3 linked regions of the Lepisosteus oculatus genome follow. The protein of the gene in region 1 purifies or fractionates together with the protein of each later gene. This does not show direct contact. Links are inferred from orthologs where the notes say so. Each region holds a gene or a part of one and is shown in the gene's direction. Other genes may lie near its edges.

The links. Proteins that work in one complex are often made in the same cells at the same time.
Region 2: the proteins of rpp14 (region 1) and rpp40 purify together in Homo sapiens (co-immunoprecipitation; 3 studies listed by BioGRID and IntAct, with this or other methods). This does not show direct contact. The link is inferred for Lepisosteus oculatus from reciprocal best matches to the Homo sapiens genes RPP14 and RPP40.
Region 3: the proteins of rpp14 (region 1) and pop5 purify together in Homo sapiens (co-immunoprecipitation; 3 studies listed by BioGRID and IntAct, with this or other methods). This does not show direct contact. The link is inferred for Lepisosteus oculatus from reciprocal best matches to the Homo sapiens genes RPP14 and POP5.

The regions. Positions count from the first base shown.
Region 1 is NC_090699.1:56,404,927-56,412,253, reverse strand, and holds the start of rpp14 (ribonuclease P protein subunit p14), read left to right. Parts: upstream 1-4,309; 5' UTR 4,310-4,413; exon of another isoform or gene 4,414-4,458; intron 4,459-4,987; 5' UTR 4,988-4,995; coding exon 4,996-5,090; intron 5,091-6,006; coding exon 6,007-6,091; intron 6,092-6,623; coding exon 6,624-6,700; intron 6,701-6,961; coding exon 6,962-7,040; intron 7,041-7,327. UniProt on the Homo sapiens protein: Component of ribonuclease P, a ribonucleoprotein complex that generates mature tRNA molecules by cleaving their 5'-ends.
Region 2 is NC_090701.1:18,538,515-18,546,416, forward strand, and holds the start of rpp40 (ribonuclease P protein subunit p40), read left to right. Parts: upstream 1-4,884; 5' UTR 4,885-5,058; coding exon 5,059-5,175; intron 5,176-7,212; coding exon 7,213-7,357; intron 7,358-7,799; coding exon 7,800-7,868; intron 7,869-7,902. UniProt on the Homo sapiens protein: Component of ribonuclease P, a ribonucleoprotein complex that generates mature tRNA molecules by cleaving their 5'-ends. Also a component of the MRP ribonuclease complex, which cleaves pre-rRNA sequences.
Region 3 is NC_090717.1:200,775-207,489, reverse strand, and holds pop5 (ribonuclease P/MRP protein subunit POP5), read left to right. Parts: upstream 1-4,242; 5' UTR 4,243-4,308; coding exon 4,309-4,328; intron 4,329-4,770; coding exon 4,771-4,913; intron 4,914-5,005; coding exon 5,006-5,155; intron 5,156-5,234; coding exon 5,235-5,318; intron 5,319-5,475; coding exon 5,476-5,561; 3' UTR 5,562-6,197; downstream 6,198-6,715. UniProt on the Homo sapiens protein: Component of ribonuclease P, a protein complex that generates mature tRNA molecules by cleaving their 5'-ends. Also a component of the MRP ribonuclease complex, which cleaves pre-rRNA sequences.

The DNA.
Region 1 (7,327 bases):
TTCATTTGAGGGTTTTGACTTCACACCTCTTCACCTCTCTCGACTTCGCACCACCTGAGTGCCCACTCTGCTGCTCTCCTCCCTCCTCCTCTCCATTCCCGGCTTTTGTTCTCCCATGCTTTATTACCTGCTGACTTTCCTGCCTTTCTCACACCCGAAGGCTCCACAGTTGAAGCATTGTGTTTCTTTTCTTCTGTTTTCAGCATGGAATAAACCTTTACTTGTTCCTTTGCAATCTGCGCATGCTGACGCAGCTACCTACTTGAACTATTTTAAAGTCTTTGTTTCTTGTAATAGTTGATAGCATTAACAGCTTGTTTATTAGCCTGGTATGAACTAACAACTACTAATGTTTAGTTGGTAACAAATGTCTGACCGTTCTCATATATAAATTATTTATTACTGCATACTAGAGTTTTAATAGATTGTTATGCATTTATAAAGTGTTGTTTGTAGCCCTTGAGCTGAAGTGTTGAATCTCTGTGTTTTCTTTCATTTAAGATAAGGCAGCAAACTGGGGGAAACTATTTAATGATGTACATTTTTAAATGTATTCAGTACTATAGTGTAACAGAAGTGTTCTTGATTTAAGGACAGTGGAGGTCTGGGAGGTGGTTGACATACTGTAACTGCAAGAAAATTGCTTTAGCGTAATTAAGTGAATTTGTCTCTTCCACTGCTAAAAATCCAAAATTTGCAACATATTTCTCAGCGTGTACTAACAGAAAATGCATGCCTGCTCATTTCCTGTGAAACGTCTATGTCTCTGCTCATCTCAGGCCAGGTACAGAGGTCATACCTAACAGTTGGAGAGTCTCAGTCTGACAGACTGCCTAACCAGGTCTGGCTTTAATTTCAGAGCACAGACAGATATCCATGTTAATTTTCATGTGTTAAATAAAAATACATTCAAAAGAACTACAGATTTAGGAGTTCAAATATGAATACTATGAAATGAAGATGGTTAAGTGTAATACATATTTTACCCATGTGTATAAGCTTAACTATACTGTATATAGCTAAACTTTTAGAGCATTCTATTTTACCTCTGTTTAAATAATGCTGCATCCAGGACCACAGGTAAATGAAATCACTATTCCTCTGAATGCAATACAGACTGTGAAGCACAATTAAGCAAAAACCTGACCCTCAACATTCAAATACAGAATATATTTTTAATTAGTTCACTCAGTATATTCTCTAAGCAGGGACTAACAGTATCGTTTTTTGTAGTCCAGAGCACTGCTTTTAATCCTCCTGCAGCCATGACATAAAACCCTATATGAGCTACAAAGTGTTTTATTGTGCTCTGAATTCTCTGCACAAAGCTGTATGGTTGTGAAAAAATGCACAATTGGTAGGACCAAGTCAAAACCAAGTAAGGATATCATAATGCAAATCAAACAGTTTTGCACCTTCATCTGTTTCTTTTGTTTACTGTACCACTGTCTATTCTGTCATCTTTTCTAAAACACCAGTCACTGGAGCCCAGAAAAGCTTAATAAGCCTTCCTGTCTGAAAAGGATGTATTGCATTTGTTCAGTGCATCTGGGCTCTTCCTGCAGAGAACATCTTGGCAGAACAGTGTTTTCCCCCAGCCCTCTGCCCCCTTTCTGAGATCTTTGACATTTGTCTGTACCAAGGGATGGCCAACCCGGGTCCTTGAGAATCACAGTCCAGCAGGTCTGATGGGTCACTCATTGCCCCCCCAATTCCTAAACACCTGGAGTATCTCAAACACTGGAGAGGGTGAGCTATTCAATTCGGTTTTTGAGCGGTCATTTGGACCACAGCTTTCTTATCCTGATTTCACTGAACCAGTTAACCCCCTAAATAGATCAGAATGCACGTGTTCAGTCTTCAGAAATGTGAGGGTGACCCAAAAGACCTGCTAGATTCCAGCTCTCCATTAACCAGGGTTGGTTTACAACTATTGGCCTACACTCTGTGCTGCACTGAAGCAAACTGGAACAATCCTGCAGATACCTGCTGATGTTCGGATTGTTGACTTGATGTTTTGGACAGGATGTCTTTTGGTTTTTGTTCCAACCTGAGTAGTCAGCCAATTCCCCTAAGTCTTTTCTTAATTAGATAATTAACAAATATTGGGTTAAGAAAATAGAGAATAACAAACAATACTGGGTGGGATAATCAAGAATAATAGACTAATTGTAAAGATTATACCAAGAATATACACAACAGGTTGGTATAGTAAGAGGCATTTGAGATCTTTGTTCTCTGACACAGCTCAGTCAACTCAGGCACAAATTGGAATAAACTAATATTTATTAAAAAATAACAACATAAACTAAATGCACAACATAAAACATTCAAATTACTCTATTTATAAACAAGACATTTCATGTCTTGGAAAAAAAAACCCAGATTACTTTCACAAAGTATGCACCAATCCTAAATAATGCCCTCACAGGTCAACTGTGAAGAACTAAGCCTGCCTTCTTAATTAAAGATTTAAAGACCTACAGTTAAATCTCTCCCTCTATAAATCCAGATGCTACAAAGTGAATGGGATGCATCTCCCTAAATGCATCCTTTGACCAGGTGAGATTGTTTTTAATCTAGGGATTTTATATACAAGAAATAAAAGTTCCCTGAGAATAACAGAATGGCAAACTCTCTTAACAAGGTTCAAATATTTATCTAGAATCTTGTCTTCATTGGTTGATCCAAACCAGAACCTGTAGCCTGGCACTCCTTTTTCTCTCTCCTTGTGTTTTGCAGTCTGCCTCATCTCCTCCCTGTTCTCTTTTTACCCTCTCTCTGTCTTTGTTCCCAGACTGTTGATGACTCTTAATTATTTGCCAAGAATTTAATGAACCAAGGTAAACCAGACCCATTACAAGTCAGAGAACACCTCAGGTGTCGATCCTTGTCTTTAATTCTTATGACTCCTCAATAGCCACTTCCTATAGCTTTGACAATATATAGGATTTTTCAAAAGGTCTTTTAGTTGACTAGGCAAGAGCCAGACGTTCACTTCATTAAAGGTTCTGTTGCGTAGAAATCACCTAGAAACATGTTAGAAATGTTACATTGAATAATTAATTAAATAAATAAATGTAACAGAGAACATGATCAGAACAAAAATCAGAAGGCACTGGGCCTTGCAGGAATGGAGTTTGAGATACTATATAGTGTACCTTGAAAATTAACTTAGTCCTCAAGATTTTTTTTCTTTAGGTATTATAATTGTATATAAGTCTCAAGCAAGTATTGAAAATTATCCATAGTAGGTATTTATTGTACTGCACACAATTACCATATTGTGTTTATTGGTATATTTTATGGAGTTTTCATTGTGCTAAAATATAGAAACAATTCTCATTTTTAATATTTTATTGTAATTACTGTAGAAATGTGTATGTAAATAGTATTATGATTAGTAATAAGCTCCTCATGACGAGAATAGAAACTGTTGTTCAAGATGTGACATGCTTAATTTCGTTGTGCATCCATTTTCTAACCACTTCTTCCAATTTAGGGTCAATGGGCACAAGGCAGGGATGAGACACCAGTCCATCACAAGGCAGTACAAATGCAGACACACCAGGGCTAATTATCCCAGAAGCCAATTCACCTACCACCAGTATGTCTGTAGACTGGGGGAAGAAACTGGAGAACTTAGATGAAACCCACATGGGAAATCACACAAACTCCACATAGATACAGTAGCTCCCCAGGAATTGAACCCAGGGCCAGAGCACTGCAAGACAGTTAAGCTAACCACTGCGCCACCCACTTTCATTTTAATATCAGTTAACTGGTGGATACAATGAATTGCCTCCACTTTTAGTAGTGTAACTAAAATGTTTTCTGAAAGACAGTATTTTTGTATGTTGTAGAAACTTTAGTTTAAATATTAAGAATAAATATTAAGGTGGAGTAAAGCCGTGTACGAAATTTGGGAGCAGAATTATTATGTTATTATGTAGGTGGATGCTGCACATTGGTGGTGGTGGAGGGGAGTTCCCATTACCTGTAAAGCGCTTTGAGTGGAGTGTCCAGAAAAGCGCTATATAAGTGTAAGCAATTATTATTATTATTATTATTATTATTATTATTATTATTATTATTATTATTATTATTATGATGATGTCTAAATGACCAATCCTTCACAAGTGACCAAACAATTTAGCCGAAATAACGAATCGTAATGCTTTTCCGTGTATTAAATTCCGTGATGTAGAAAGTAAAGATAATTTTATTTATTTACTACTGGAGACGTGGACTGAGATTTGATTTATATTAGGACGTCATATGGACCTTTTGAGGACATTAGGTACAGAACTGTATACGAGCACAGAGCTAGGTCGGACTGCAAAGGCTGTAGAACAGGAAGTACGACTTGAAACGTGGTTACAGTGCGGAGTTTAATCTGAGTTAAGGTGTCAGGTAATGTGAAGAATTTTTAATCAAACCAACACCAGTCTCTGACATGTTGAGTACTACAAATCTGTTTACTTTGCTCTGTATCATTAGGAGCCTTTTTCTTAGCTTCTGCCTTGCAACACTGAATCAAAAGCAAATGCTGTCTTAAGTAATAATGTCTTCTCACAGAAAATCTCGCAGATATTATTATTATTATTATTAATAGAATGATATATTTGCGAAATACTGACAGCATTTCTTTTAGTCTTTTTTCCTATAACATTCGCGAAATCGTGAATTAAGGGTGCAAAAATAAAGCAGCTTTTAGAAACTACTTTCTCGCTACAGAATATAACGGGGTTGACTAAATTAACATTGTTAGGAAACAACTGTGTGAGTTGATCATACCACACATTGTTGCTGTATTGTAATTTTATTTTTTGTTATTGCATGGTTACAAAGTTTCTCACTTAAACCCAAAGCAATACGTTATGTTGCTCCTCTAAAGTTAACAAACACAGTGGAATTGCAGGGCCGTGCAATCTGTGCAGAACATTATTTTCTGCTGTGTGATTACGGGATTTTTCTCTTTGTTAAGGAAATAGCATGAGACGCTCTGGGAAACAGGAGGAGGAACCTGCAAGTTATGAAAGGCTTGTTTTGAAGAATGCATCAGTGTACCATTATCTGAGGATCTCCCTGTGAGTGTGCCGGCATGTTTTGTTTTCACGAGCATTTCTTGGTGTCTCCTACAAATTGTTTGATCACGCATGAACGCTCACCTGGCACCTCATTAAATGTACTGCAGTTAATCTGATAATAGCAACGAGTGTTGTTTCCAGGCTGTTTCAATGTCTTTAATATATTTTTTTAATTGTATCGTAATTTACACCATAGCTAGGTTTTACACTAAAATGTTCACAGACGTGTTCTGGAAATCATTGTTCAACTCTGACCAGTATTGCTCAACTGATGTACGGTGTTGTTGTTTGATTTTAAAACTGAAGATTATTTTTCTAACATCCTACACATCAATATGAATGTGTTCAAATTTATTATAAAGATGTATAGAAATATCTAGGGAGATTTGGTGGATCAGTGATTAGTATTGGTGTCTTGCATCACTGGGGCCATGAGTTTAATTCCAGACCTGGGGTGCTATCTGCATAGAGTTTGTATGTCCTCCCTGAGTTTGTGTGGGTTTTGGCTGGGTGCTTTGGTTTCTTCCCAAAGTCCATAGGAGGATTAATGGGTAGGTTATTTGACTTCTAGGAATGTTGGCCTTGGTCTGAGTGTAGGCGTTTGTCTCTGCCTTGCAATGGACTGGCGTCTGGCCCAGGCTGTATCCTGCCTCACTTTCGTTGCTTGCTGGGATAGGCTCCAGCTGCCCCATGACCCTGAATTGGATCAAGTGGTTAGAAAACAAATTGCTATAAATACATTTTTTTTAAATCATCCCTCTTTTTTTTAAATCAAGCTCTCATGAGAATTCGGCTGTGATTTTGCAGGTGTGAGAAATGCATTGCCAAATATCTAAGCGACTTTTCTCTAGATGCAGACAGGGCAGAATTTTGTTTCCTTCTCTGTTGGTGGAAAACTCTGGCCTTGTTTTTACAGAGTATTCCAAGACAGTGACAAAAGACTCAGTGAGGCCCAGTTCAAGCAGCTGATCATTTCAGCCCTCAGAGACCTGTATGGAGAGGTATGTAAATGCAAATATAAGTTTGATGTACCAGATATACAGAGCTAGACTCCATCTTGATATACAGACCCAGTTTGGAAATATTTAAATGGACTTTTACCCAAATTGACAAATTTATTTTGTTAATAATTTGTTAACTCTGTTGACAAATGGATCTACAGAATAATACAGTACAGTTCATACAGCTTTTAGGCCATATTTTAGAAGAAACGCGTATCCTCTGTTCTATAAGAAATAATAGATGAATATAGTGTCTTTGCTACTATCAATCCTTGTGTGTTTTGTATTTGATTTTCAAGCAGCATTTTGCATGGGAACATGACCATAAATACCAGAAAGTAGGTGCTTCAGAAAGGAAAGGGGAGTGCAAATATCTGTTGCACAGTTATGTTTATCAGCGTTTCATTAAGGGAAGTGTATTGTGAAATAAAGAGAAAGGTGTTAGCTTTGCTTGATATGTTTAACGTGTGTTGCAGTTTTGTTTTAATGGGCAACTCCAGAAATAGACACAAATAACACAGATGTTTTGTAGATTGGAGCCGCCTTTCCTTTCGATGTTCTAAAATTTGAGGAGAACACGCTGAAAGCGATAATACGAGTGTTGAGCAGGTAAAGTAATATTGCTTGTCTGTAAAAATGAAAAATGTGGAAGCAAGCATAGTAAAAATAGTCAACGAGTCAAATGTCCTATAGTTCAAAACAATTAGAAGTGTATTCAAGATTTTTATATTATTGTTTGGTTATACAATTTATTTATATGTATGATTTATGATTTATTTTTTTTAAATGTATTTTAAAATGTACAGGATCGACAATGGTGTTTGTCCACAGCCCTTCCTCTGAGTCACTATGCAAATATTTTTCTTCCAGTGGCCTTGTGAAACTGTGGAGTGCTCTGACATTACTAGGATCCTATCAAAATGAACCATGTGCCTTTAGGATTATTCAGGTGAGTTAATTAGTTGAAATAGCCAATTTGTTTTTGAATGTACAATATTCCCCATCTTTTAAAGTTACACCATGTAAATGCTCAGTGTTTTGCAAAGTTCTTTATATTTTGTGGACTATTTTATATTTTGTGGGAAAAAAACAAAGGGAATGAGTATTTTGTCTGCTTTCCAGTAATCATATTTGAATTATTTTAACTTTATTTTCTTACAAAGTGTGAGCACACTCTATTGACAGATTTATCTACATAATAATAGCCTCAGTTCATACAGCTTATTTGCCTTTTGT
Region 2 (7,902 bases), on another chromosome or scaffold:
GTTTTAGCATCCCTGTCATTAATTTGCACTCAGCAGCTTTTGTTACGCTTAAGCCTTTCACTCGTATCTCGTTGTTTTAAAGTAATTATTGGCTAACTATAACAAGAATAACATGATATAACGCATATTTTGCGTGAAAACGTTTTTTTTAAGTCAACAGATAACTCAGAAGTTACCAAATGTAACGAAAGAATATCGGATAGTTTACCTTTTAACAATAAATGACTTAGGCCTGACCACAATTCTAAAAAGCGTCGAATCGTTAACGGCTGAAACATTGAAGTGCTTTTGAAGCACCAGTGTTTGTGTTTCAGCAGTAGTACTGCATAAAACCCTTGATGAACTGGAAAATACATAAAAACTTTTTGTCAAAGCTACTTACAGCACCATGACTAAGTCTGTATAACTTGCCTCTAAAACCTTTCCCCCCTAGGGGGAAACTATACAATATGCTGCCTCATTCATACAGATAAAAGGTTATGTTGGTGATATGAATTATTTATTTTACATTCGGTAGACACTCAACAGTTGTTAGAGCACTGTTCGCGTTATGCAGTGAGATATACAATCTAAATAATATATATTTACCATTTTATAAGTAATGTATGTATTGTAATGCAAGTAAGTCTATGCTTGGATAATAACAACAAATGCTCAACAGAACAAAATAATGAAAATGGGAAAGAATTTGTAGAAATAACGTCACACAGGAAAAGCAGCTTGTTCATCATATCACATCTTTAAATATGTCCTTTAAACCCAATGGTTTGAACTCAGTTAAGTAAATCAGCATAAATTACATAACACAGACTTTGCGCATTTAAAAGCTAAATGTACTAAATACGTCACAAAGAAGGCAAAAAGTGTACTATCACAAATATCTGTTTTGATGACCAGTGAACTACGCACATATTTGTTCGCTCGTGTACCTGAATAACAAAGCACTGCGGGAAAAAAAGCGTTTATATTGGAGTGTCCGGTCCAAAGACTGACCGCGCTAAATAATGCAGTATTATGTAATATTATACTGTAGATCCCGCATCAAAAGCACATTTAACACATGCTTTTTTAACTGCGTTTTTCTGTTTGATTTTAAAGTCCAAGAAACACTTTTGCCTAGTAGCATTGCTTAACAGAAATCTGTCTCCATCTACTTTTCAATTTGCAGCAGCCTAACAGAGTACGACATCGGATATAGTTGTGTCGCATTGTTGCATATCAAAACTATACTGCCTTCACCAGCTGGAATTAACATTATGATCCTTATTTTTTTCCCCCGTTGTAATGGGTACATTTGGTACTTTTCTTAAGATTATTCTGAAACTGAGAAACGAAAAGCTATAGATATTCAATACATTGTTTCAAACGGGTAGACAGTAAAATTAAAAATTCAAATTAACATTTACGTTGATAAGTTCTGGGCACGATATGCACAGTTTGGTATAATATTTTAATAGTGTATAATTTAATTGATTTACAGTAGTACAGTAAAATTACCATCTGTTTAGATTAAGCAGTGGTAGAATAGCAATTATAAATTCAGGAAGATAATTGAGTTACATCTCTGGTAAACAAAAAATATTTTATAGAGCCCCTGTTCCCCTCTTCATCTATTAGATGAGTCAATATTATCACATTGTAATAAAGGCTGATTTGTTAATTTAAATGTTTTTTCCCCTTAATTGCATCTGGTAAATAAAACTGACATTTCCTTCCAAAGGAGTGTGCTGTGGCTCCTGTCTTCAGAAAATTTAATGAGACCGCTGAAATAAAACATGTCACAAAAACAAAAACTTGTAACAGAGTTTTCAAAAAATGGTTCCCGTGAAAAAAGTACTCAAAGAGATTAATTAAAAACCACTCAAAACAAATAAAAAACATTGGGAAACAATGACGGCCAAAAGCAATGAACAAAAAATACACACTAAATGTGTATGATCTTCTAGTAAGAGAATGGAACAAAATCAGAACACAGCGTAGGTCCAATTGCAAATCTCCAGATAGTGTGCAGTTGTCTTTTAAATGCAATAAAGTCAGTAGTCTAAAATATTAGGAACCCCAGTCAAGTATATAGACCACAACAGGTAATATTCTGGTCAAGGAGCAGGAGGCAGAATTTCATCACTTTCTGACCAGGATGATCCCCAGATGTTTATCCTTGTAGATCCCGTGTCTCCTGTGTTTGTAAACAGAGTGTAAATGTCACCTCCACTTGGGTGTTGTAGCCGAGGTGCAGGAACTCTCTGGTCATGGATTTACTTGCCTCCAAAGAATCAACCCCTTGCCTTGCATTATTTTGAACCTGAGACTACACATTGGGCATTGATTTGTTGGTGCACCTTTGGGTTGGAAATCTCCTTTGTACTGTATGTTCCCAGCACTACCTCTCCTTCTGCAGTGTCTTCTGCATGTGAGGTTGGACATACCCCCACTGTCTGCTAAATTCTGGTGGGAGCATGGAGACTCCAGCTGCCTGTTAAGCATTGAGTCCCCACCAGGGACCTTTGTTTGGTTGTTTTGGTACGTAAAATGACCAATTCTGCCTGCAGGATGAGTGAGCTTAAAGGCTGATGGATGGAGACTTTGTGTTGAACCTGCACCTCATTGCGCCGACTAGTCTACCCTTTTTGCCAAGATTGCCTCAACCCTGTGTTCATGGTGGCTTGGGAATGCCTGTTTCCATTCCTGATGACTGCAATTTGTCCTTGAAAGAGCATGCTAGGCCCTCTAAAGTATGTACGGTCAAAGAAACAAAGTCATCCACCTTTGTAAGCCACTTTTAGATGGCTTCTTATTCTATCTAACAATAATGCGGCTTAAACCACATCACCCCAAGTTCTACAAGAGAAGGTTGGACAGGACTGATGTGGCAGGGTACCATTGACCTGATTTGGCATTCAAGCTCAGTAAAGGTCTCTGAAATGCACTTTCCCATTGGGGATCCCCATAAGTCCTTTTTAGGGATCCAGGGCTACTAAGCCTTTCCCTCCTCTGCATACTGCTGCCATCTGCTGGAATGGACAGGTTTTGGGAATGGGAAAAATGCAAAACTGGCCACCCCTGTAACAACTGGCATGAAAACGAATTAAATCAAAACGAATTAAAACTGCACTGTTTTTATTTTATTTTTAGCACTTCCATTCAAGTAAGATTGAAAGAATCTAAATAAAATTTAAAATTTAATCTGAAAGGGCCTGGATTCTTTTCTTTCAGCGCTATTTTAGTTTTTTTATTATGTGGTTGTCCTCTGTTTGTGCAATGCCCCGTTGGGTTTTTTTTAGAAACCTTAGTGCAAATGATTTTTTGTTTCACCCAAAATAAAAATCTGAATCTTACTAATTACTCCATTTTACCGTTTTATTTTCTAACTGTTAAAGGAATATTGTCTATCCAAAGGAATTCCATGCATCCATTTTCTAGCTGCTTCTTCCAATTCAGGATCACAGGAGAGCTGGAGCCTATCCCGGCAAGCAACAGGAGCAAGGCAGAGCAAATAAACAGTTGTATTTAATTTATGTGCCAGAACTCATCTGGAGCACTTCTACAACTAGAGAATGTAAAGCACTTCCAACACCTGAACATCATCAGAGCCACACAGCTTTGATAAACAGTCCTCTTTTATCTTTGCAGTTGGTTCTTACTCAGGTCTGGTGAGCATCCAGGAAACCAGTAATGTGGTGTGGAGCTGCATACTGAATTTGCTCTTCTGTCGCAAGGACCCTAACACCACACCTTAAGATCTGTTCACTTTATTGGCCATATACAATTTCTTGTATAAGAACAAGGACAATGTACATTTTTCTGGATTACACAATAAACAATGACAATGGAAAAGTATCACTGGATGAGATCCACTAGCTACTAAAAGCCAAACCCACTCAGTAGATACAGTAGGCTGAATACACCCCTGTAGTTTGAAAACATTATATTATTTTACATTAAAAAACACAGATACTGTATATATTGTCCAATGTTACAAGCTCTGTGGGAATGTTCCAACACTTTCAGTCTGAGCTGAATTAAAGTCCTCCAGGGTCCTGGGCAACCTCTGTTTCCTATGCCCTGTAGATGGAGGCGTTTTTAAGAGTGTATTGAATTCAATGGGTAGATAGGTAATACAAATTTAGGATTTTGTTCGAAAACATATTTATTGAAGAAGAGATATTTGTTACAGTTTTATCATAATCATAAAAATGCTCAAAATTTCTCCATAAACGGTTTAATTTTCGTACGTCTTTGGCAGTCTTTGGATAATACGGCCCTGCAAACATTGACGTCTCAGGTTTGAAAGCCGCATTTTTTAAAGCCCTCCTTAAATACAAAAGTACTATTTTTTATGGTTTCTCGCTTTCCTTCTTACGAAGGTGTTTCTTGTTTGTCACTCACATTACCGCACAAAGATGATGTACTGTATGACTGTATGGAGCACTGGTTAAACCTCCGGTTTATAGTATAACTCGAATATTGTGGACTCACTTCTTACGCGGGGTTCTGCTCTTCTGCTACAGTTGAGCAAAGAAATTTACTATTATTGCAAAAATGTCTAACTGTATAAATGTATAAATCTATATAATATATACATTTAAGATGATTTAGATAAAAGTATCAGGGACATTCGAAAATATGTTATATGTGTTAATAGAATATATAGTTTGTGCTTCCTAAGCGGTTTGCTGTACTACATAGCCTGTACTGAATCTCAAGGTTTTCGTATCCCTGAGTTTGCTGCATCCACAGCTAAAACACCATGAAGACGTTTGTGTTTGCGCAGGACCTGCGCTTGAAAAACTACACAGCATCAGCAACTGCGTGCGAGGTTAGTGACGTAAGGCGCAGATTGGCAGGTCAAATTCGCAGCAGGGAGCACGCGACAGGAAGTGATGTCATCTGCGTCATTTTACAGCCTACCATTGGCTACTCAAAGGCGCGTGTACGAAGTGGTCAAAGAACCAAAACAGAAGAGGAAATACTTCTCATCTTGAGCCTTGCTTTTGCATAAACGAAGTAACGCGTTGAATCAGCTTTGATGAAGGCACTGTTTTGTGCTTGTGACTAACAATGCTGACTGACCTGGAGAAGTGTCCAAGGCATTTACTGGTGTGTGAGAAATCGAATTTCTTGAATGAAAAGTCACGTCATGACGTCCACGTGGCCGGTCACTATTTTAACTACAAGGTGAGTGGTGAGTGTTGAGTGTTGAAAACGTGATGTTTTTTGCAGACGCAAAAATAAACGGTGATATTTTAATATGCTTACTTTACAAAAGAGCAAAAGCATTCGGTCGCTTCTAATAAGACAGTCTGCGCTAAAAGGCTATACAGATTAAGATCTGATTTACAGTATGTTGTCTCCAGGGAACAGCTGCATGAAATGAACAGAAACTGAAAATGAGCCAGAACTTCCAGAATTCCAAACCACCAGAGTCCTATAAGCAGAATTCGTGTATACCACATCATCTCTGTCTTCTTTTTGCTTCTATGTTCCTGATAGATTCTTCCACTCATGTGGTTACGTCTTTGATTTAGCAGAATCCTACCGGTAATTTGGAGTCTTATAAGTGATTCCAGGGCACCTTTTCAAGTCTGATTTCGTTATGTATTCCTGGTAGATTGTTTTCTTACAGTATTTAAATATAATAAGAGTGTATGCATCTTGCACTGGGGCAGCTTCAAGTGAAAAATACTGAGAGTCGTGGGCTGTAGAATTTGCAAGGACGATTTTAGTTCAGAGACAGATGTCATTAGGAAATTAATCTTCGAGTGACAGAAACAGGAAACGGTGACGTCAGACAGAAATGCTGTTTGTAACCTATGTTGAAAAAATATTGGCTTTTATAAAGACGGACAGAGTAAAGGTCTGAAATGCCCGGATGTATTTACAAATCATATCCACTTGTATCTAAAGACTGACCTATGGTGATTCTGCTACAGTACAGAATTTATTTTGAATTTTGATTTTACTGAATTCGTACATCTTGGTGTTTTCTAACTTCTTCTTCCAATTCAGGGACACAGGGGAGCTAGAGTCTATCCTAGCCAGCAACAAGTGCAAGGCAGGATACACTCTGGACTGGATGTCAGTCCACTGCAACTGGGAGAAACACAGACAAACGCAGAGAGAACATATAAACTCCACACAGATATCACCTCAGGAATTGAACCCAGGGCCCCAGCACTGCAAGGCAGCAATGCAAACCTCTGCACCACTGTATCATCAGAAGCACTAGCAAAGTTAACCTATGTGCTTCTTCAGAATTAACACTGAAACGTGAATCGGAGACATACGTGGAGTCTAAGCAGAAGTGCAGGTTAAAGTGAGAACAGGAGGCACTTCTTCACACAAAAGGATGTGGGTGTCTGGAACAAGCTTCTGATGCCATCTGCTCTTCCATGAAATGCCTGGATAAGATCCTTGGATTGACTTATGACCAACCGAATTAAATATATTGGCAAAAATGGGCTTCCCTCATTTGTAATGTTTCTTACGTTCTCATACAACATTTTTCTACATCACAAAAACACATCACAAAAAACTGAATATTGTTAAGGTTCATAGGTTCAGTTTTTATGAATTCCAGTTGTGCCATCAGTTTTGTCACTTAAAAGCAATACATTGGTTTCTTAGAAAACAGGTTGGTTGTTATAAATTCTTTTGTTATAGTGTGAAATTAGTTTGACATGCACATTTTCATTTTATGCATCTTATGTACTCCATTGTATCAGAAATCTGAATTGAATTTCTGTTTTTCAAACCATCCTTTAGAAAACATAGTAATCGCTTTTGTGGATTTACAAACACCAATCAAAGGTGATTTTAGTGTGTTGGGACAGTAGAACCAGCTGCCTCCAGAAAACGAACAGAAATAAAGCAGAAATTAAGATTAAGATTAAACTGTTTTTTTATCAGTGTGGACTGTAGAAATGTTTGGTCAGGGGAAGTTGTTTTCTGGCAGAAACAAGTGTGTACATATGTATTTTGGTACAAGTAAATGTTACTTTCCCCATGCTGAAAAATATCCAGGTGTGAAGAAGGCTCAAGGGCCAGAATGTTTCTGCTTTCAGTGTGGATTAACCCTCTTCTTCCTTCTTTTTTTTATAGCAAATGCAAGTTGATGCAGTGCCTCATTCATATGCATTTATGCCTTTTGCTAAAAATCTGACAAATAGGAATTGTATATCCTAAATTATCCCTTTTGATTGTTCTTTTTAACAGGTTTCTGTTTTAATTCCTGAGTGTGGAACACTACCATTGGGGCTAAAAAGCATTGTGAATAGCATTGCAAAATATTATTTGGTGAAGAACTTCCCCATCTATAAAATACTGGAAGAGAAGTTTCTTGAAAAGCAGGTGAAAGCAGGTAGACCTGTTTTAATTTTCACTGGAGTTTGAATTTATTAGTGGTCGGGTTCAGTCGTTTATTCCCATGATTGATTCTGAGAAAGAGATTGAAGACACACCACTTCTGATTCCCTAAAGAAAAAATCTGTCTGCTCGTTCATGTGAATGTCTTCCCATTCCTAAGGCGCAGTGTTCTGTGCATTAAAATGAGTAGCATCAATATGGATACTATATTCACACCAAATGCAAAATGGAATACTATGACAATGATTATTGTCAGACATTATCTGGTTGCTTGGCCTTGTGTGTTATACTGTTAGATGAAGGCACTTTATGCACAGTGCTTGGAATCTGTGGGAAACTTATGCAGTCCTCTGTGTGTGTGAGTGCCCTTTTCAGTGTGCCTGATGTCTGTAGTTCTGACTCTTGCATCTGATTTGAAAGTTTTTGTATAATTGCAGGATCCCTCTGTGCTCTGTCATACAAAACCAGAATAGACCAAGACAACACTTTTGCACTTCTTCCAACGGGTAAGATAGATCAAGACGATTTTACACTTGATGA
Region 3 (6,715 bases), on another chromosome or scaffold:
AGCTTGACTAGCGTCATTACTTGTACATTACTTTAAAAATAAAATGCTGACTTTTTCAGTTTTCATTTTATTTACCTGTTATCATATTCAATGCTTAGTTTTTACACCTTACATAAAACTTAATACCTGTATAGTAAAAAATAAAATACAAATGGCGTATGTGTACTGTAACCTTTTAATCAAAATATGACATCATAGGCAGAGACTGATATCTTACCTTTCTGATGGTATTATGTTTAAAAAATTATATAAAACTACATTCAGGTTATATGCATAAGCTATATTATGAAATGTAAATGGATATCGTGTTTAGACTTGGGTCCCATTGCCAAGCTGTCCCATTTTATAGATGCAAATAATCAGAAAAAATCCTAAATCTGCAACACTTTCGATCCCAGGAATTTCAGATAAGGGATTCTCAACCTCTATTACAATGTTTCCAGTCTCTGACCTCCCAGACACTGTCTCCTGTCCCTGACCCCCCAAACACTGTTTCTCCTCTCCCCACTCCCCAGACACTGAGCTTCCTCTACCCTACTCCCCAGACACGGAGTCTCCTCTCCCCAACTCCCCAGACACTGATTCTCCTCTACCTATCTCTCCTGACTCTGTCTCCTCTCCCTTACACTGTGTCTCCTCTCCCTAACTCTCCAGACACCGTGTCTCCTCTCCCTGACCTCCCAGACACTGTGTCTCCTCTCCCCAACTCCCCAGACACTGAGTGTCCTCTACCTGTCTCCCCAGACACTGAGTCTCCTCTGACTGACACCCCAGACACTGTGTCTCCTCTCCCTGACCCCAACCTTCCCCCTACATTAAGACACGATGGCTCTTAAGTGTCGCCGATAAAGAATTCATAGGCGACCTGTCAGGGCCTTGTAAGCGGGCAGCCGACACTCATTCAATTATTCAGGTGACAAATTAAAGTTTAATCCTGACCAAACAGTGGGGCTATTATCTGACAGAGGTGTGAGTGAGAGTGAGGAAGAACAGTTAGCATGAGCTCTGTCCACCTCATCACCTGACCCGAGCCCCAGCCCTCTCAGTATCAGCACAGTAATGACCCTGCTGTCGGGCTCTGTGGGTCTGCGGTCCACTACACTTCATTGCATTATGTGTTACTGAGTTCTGTCTCTGAATTGCTTTCTATCACATGCATTAAACAGTATTCTATTGTACACTGTCTTCTACTGTGCAGGGGTCGTTGTGCTGGATGGCCTGTATGGCTGTGTGTTGTGCTGTACTCCCAGGTTCTGCAGGAGCAGTGGGGACTGACCGTCACAGTGCTATATTGCCTGTGTGCCTGGATATGTTATCACTCTGTATCCTCTCTGACTGTCTCTCAGCAGACACTCACGGAGGTGAAGCGTCTCTGGTATCAATCTGAACCTGCTGAAGAAATTAGTGTGTCTGCGAGTCTGTGTGTGAGTGAGTCTGTGTGAGTGTCAGTGTGTGTCTGTGTGTGTTTGGAGACTGGGGGACAGACTGGGAACTGACAGGGGAAAGATTGGGGGACAGACTGGGAGCTGACTGGGACAGACTGGGGGACAAACTGGTAGCCAGACAGATAAGAGTGTTTGAGCTGCACTGCGCTGAGCTCATGACGGCGTCTCAGTGTGACGCAAGCCCTCATTAGAGTTAATGACACTGGTGTCATCCTGCACAGAGGCAATTAGCCTCTCGTAAGGATGTCATTATAATTAAGGCATTAGCGTAAATTGCAGAGTGGGATTAAACAGCGACATTGTCTCAGCTAATTCCAGTCATGGAGACTCCTGTGTCACACTCCCTGTTCCCCGAGAGACTCAGTTACACACAGCAACCATTTACTGCAGAATCCGTCTGTATAAATACAGTAGAGTCGCGATTATCCGACATGCCGTTTAATCCGACATAGCCAATCACCAGTGTACAGTATTTACTGTGCACTATGCGTGCGCCTGCATAAGATTTTGCCCAATCCGATGCTGCTCTGTCACGTGCTGCCATTGACGTAGTTTCATTTGCTAACTTCGCGCTCGTGATTGTTTTTCCTGTTGTCTTTGGAAGCGGCACCAGCTCACGCTGAACAGCAAGACGAGGCCACTGCTACTGATGGCATGTTACTAAGACTTCGCCGCAAGGAAGAGAAGCACATCTGGGAAACAGATTCCAATCACTCATTTTTTTAAATAATAACTAACAATAGTTCTGTACTCTGTTATTTTAGTATTACAGTAGATTAATAAACCAGATTTCATTCATATACTGCGCTTCCATTAATCTATGATTTGTCTACTCAGTTTCCGCATTATCCGAAATTTCCAATTATCCGATACTATCGGCCCCGGTTAGGTAGGATAATCGCGAGTGTACTGTACTAACACCCACGGGTGACACAGCCTCCACAGTGAGCCCAGGAGCTCTTGTCGGTTTCCAGTGTCACAATATCCGCGATCTGCCCGGTGCAGAGGGGTGGAATGACAGAGACAGACGATACCGGGACGTGTGAACGGAGAAGTGGGGTACTAGCGCCACCTGGCGCATGAAACCGTCAAAATCCCCGCAAGCTCTTTAAGCACCAGTGAACCGCGGCAGACGTGAATAACCGGAATGTGAAATGACAGGACGTTATTTTATAATAATAATAATAATAATAATAATAATAATAATAATAATAATTGCTTACACTAATATAGCGCTTTTCTGGACACTCCACTCAAAGCGCTTTACAGGTAATGGGGATCTCCTCCACCAATAGGGATCCCCTCCACGTCCAATGTGCAGCCCCACCTGGATGATGCGACGGCAGCCATAGTGCGCCAGTACACTCCCCACACACCAGCTCTCAGTGGGGAGGAGAGCAGAGTAATGAAGCCAGTTCAGAGATGGGGATTATTAGGGACCATGATTGGTAAGGGCCAATGGGAAATTTGTCCAGGACACGGGGTTACGGGAGAAACGCCCTGGGATTTTTAATGACCACAGAGAGTCAGGATCTCGGTTTTACGTCTCATCCAAAGGATGGCGCCTGTTTACAGTAGAGTGTCCCCGTCACTATACTGGGGCATTAGGACCCACACAGACTGCAGGGTGAGCGCCCCCTGCTGGCCCTACTAACATCGCTTCCAGTGGCAACCTTAGTTTTTCCCAGGAGTCTCCCATCCAGGTACTGACCAGGCTCACACTGCTGGGCTTCAGTGGGCTGCCAGCTGGGAGTTGCAGGGTGATGTGGCTGCTGTGTGATATTTTCTGGAGTCCGCGGCTGTTCCTCTGCGCCCCGCCGAGGGAGTGAATCAGAGGCGCACAGCTCGCACCCAGCGTCGGAGCTTCAGTTTTAAACGTCACACCTCTCCTGCCTTTCCTCTGCCATATGTATTGGTAAAATATGAGCAGCGTCAGACTAGCGTTCCTTTTCGCGAATTCTACTGGGAATTCACTTTACTCCGAGAACAGCCGATTTAATTAGACAAAGTGGTGGGAATTCTACACCAGCTTCGAGAGAGTCGTCCTGTTTGTTAGTTTGTTAAATAAATGCTCTAGATTTGTGTTGAACATAGTAAGGTTCATTTTTATAACAAGTTTTATACAGTATGTGAAGTAGGGACCTGCGTCAGCACGCGTAGGCTGCAAAGGAACGAGGTTTATTCCTGAAGAAAAGAGAAGAAAAGAAACCCGAAGCCTCCACAGCCGAAACGTTGTGTTTCTTTTCAGTGTGGAATAAGTCTGTACTTGTTCCTTTATAATGCAATATGCGTATATGTACGGAGCCCGGGAGGGGCCATCAGTAAGAAAAAAAAGTTAAATCGAGTGAACGATTTACAATTCGTGCGCACGAAATAACGTTTTCTAACGTTATGTATATATAGGAACAAATAATATCAAATAATGCTGAGAAGAGAAAAAAGAAAACACAACGTTTCAGCCGTTCCGGTGTCATGTATATCTGTATATATGTTGTACATGAAATTAGATAGTAATGAAGACGGTGCACACAAGCACAACACACCCTCTAGCGGACACACATATAATTACATATAAATACATATAATTACACACATTCTCTCTGCATACGTCATAGTTCACGCCCCCTTCAGTCAGGAAGGGAAGTTGAAAGTCTATAGGCCAGCTCATCCATCAATTACACGGAGTTCTGCACGTCATACACACACGCGTGTACACGGCTAGGACTGCGACTTTATTGGCTTATTTTGTTGTCAATCTTCATTCACTGTGCCCGCCCTTTCCATAATACTCCGATATGATTGGCTCAGTTCAGAGCAGGAAGTCAGGCTACACTGAAACAGAAACGCGCGTGTGGGCTGCAGGATGGTGCGATTCAAGTCGAGGTGAGGCGAGGAATTGAGTTGTTGTTGTTAAATAAGAGTTGAAGCTCATTATCCCAAAGCCGTTAAAGGTTTTCTGTCATCTGAGAGTGTGACAAGTTGTCGTGTTTTCAGTATTGGCAAAAATATCAAATAATGTATGAGAAGAAGTATAACTGAATTTATATTATATATAGCTGAGTTTCTATAATAATTTCTGAAAACTGCTGTCCCATTATTGTCGATTTCTTCAATATCCTGCAGGACCCCATGTCTCCTGATCCCAGTAGGAGCCCCGCTCCTGGACGCGCTAGTGCATTTTCAGATGTTTAAACATGTAGATGCGCTCGGTCTTCCGCTGTAATGCTGCGATTCCCTCGGCCGGGTCGGGCCTGTCGAGGAGAATCGGACCCGGCGCGAACGCAGCCCGGCCTCCCCCCAGCGCGTCACTCTGTCTCTGCCGCAGATACCTGCTGTGCGAGGTGCGGATGTCGGACCCGCCGTCCCTCCAGCTGCTGGACGATCGCTCCGTGTTCACGGCCTTGAGGAACGCGGTCTCCCGAGCTCATGGGGACTACGGAGCTGGGGTCTGCGGCCTCTCCTTCGCAGGTAGCGCCTCCCGCTGGACGCTGTACTGTACCGCTTGCCCTGTCCTTCCTCTGGGCTGTGCAGCTAATCTCCTGCCCCCTGGTCTCCCGCAGTGAAGTACCTGAACGCCCGGACAGGGGTGCTGTTCCTGCGCTGCCGCAAGAGCCACTACCGCCTGATCTGGTCGGCGCTGCCCTTCGTCAGCAGCCTGGAGAGCCGGGGCCAGCGGCTGCCCTGCGCCGTCGACTGCCTGCACGTGGGGGGTGAGGGCCGGGACCCCGAGACTCTGCACACGCCCCCGGGCTGCTGAGGCACTCACCCCTGTCCCTCCGCTTTCTGCAGGGACCATCCGGACCTGCCAGAAGTTCCTGATCCGGTACAACGCGCGCCAGATCCAGCGCCTGCTGCCGCAGTGCCGCAGCGAGGGTGAGGGTGAGGGGCGCGGGCGAGCTGGGTTTCGGGGGGCCTGTCCCTGGTATTGAGGGGTGGCAGTGGGGCAGTACTGTACCTCAAGCCCTGAGCAGACATGATGTCTGGGGGGGCTGGGGTTCAGACAGAGACGTGTGGGGTGCTGTCTTTGCAGAGGAGTGCGTGGAGGTGCGCAGGGCAGTGATGAGCTGCTCGCTGAAGGAGCTTGAGGAAGAGGAGGAGGATGAAGAGGTCTGCTGACTAAACCAGGTGCTGGCAGAACAGCGGGAGGATGAGCCCCGAGAGCTGCCTTGGCCCGGCCCTGCTCGGCTCACTCTCGGCACCATGTCTCGTGAACTAGACTCCCTGCACCCGGCTGAGGAACCTCAGTCTGGCTGGGGGTCAAGAGTCCCCCCTTCTAACTACTGTTCACAGATGCTCCTGGATCAGTACTGTCCAGTTACTGCTGTGGTGTCCAGCTGTAGGCCAGCAGTTTTTTGGCAGGAGGGTCTCTCAACAGCATCATAACCCCCTCCTGGCACATGTGTCTTGGTCTTTAAAGATTCCAGCCTGATGGGGTCGGGTAGCTTGTAAAAAAAGAAGCTGGAGTTGAAGACTCTGCTATGTAGTGCTTATGCTGAATGGTTCGTCAGTGTGTATGTTTCTGTAGAGGGGTGAGGTTTCTGCAGGGCAGGGTCCAGAGCCGTTGGTTTTTAATGAAGAATCTCAACAGACTGCCCGTTGCTTCATGCATTAGATAAATACATTTATTGTAAAAAGGCAGCAGTCTGCATTGATTGTATGTTCACTACCAGTTGAGTAACTACAGCTCTAACCAGTTCACTACCTTTCTAAAAACCCTGAAAGTTCCCCTTATTAAATTGTACCCTCACTAAATCTCAGAGTCAGAAGGCATTTCCTGATTGTGCACAACTTTATTACTTCAACAGACGTCTCTTGGCTCGCTAAACAAGTCCTCATTTTTTCCACTTCAAAAACACAAAACAAGGAATCCAACACAAAATACTTTGTTTTTAAATATCTTTTTTTTTTGTCAACGCCCCCAAAAAACAATTGCAAAAATGCAGTCTCAAGCTTCCTAAGTGTTGAATAATTTTAGCAGCACTGGAGAAAGTAGGCAATGAGCAGACTGAGATGGGTGAACAGGTAACAATTGGTCACAGTGCATACCTGGAGAGCTGCAGGTAAGCAATGAGAACACTGTCAGGTGGGTAGTGGGGCTCATAGTGCATACCTGGAGAGTTGCAGGTAAGCAATAAGAACACCGTCAGGTGGGTAGCATAGGTCATAGTGCACACCTGGGGAGAGTGCAGTTCACACTTTGTTCTGTATAAGTAGTGGCAGCAATGTTTTAGTTATTTTGAAACTTATTGAGATGGGTTTCTCAGTAACAT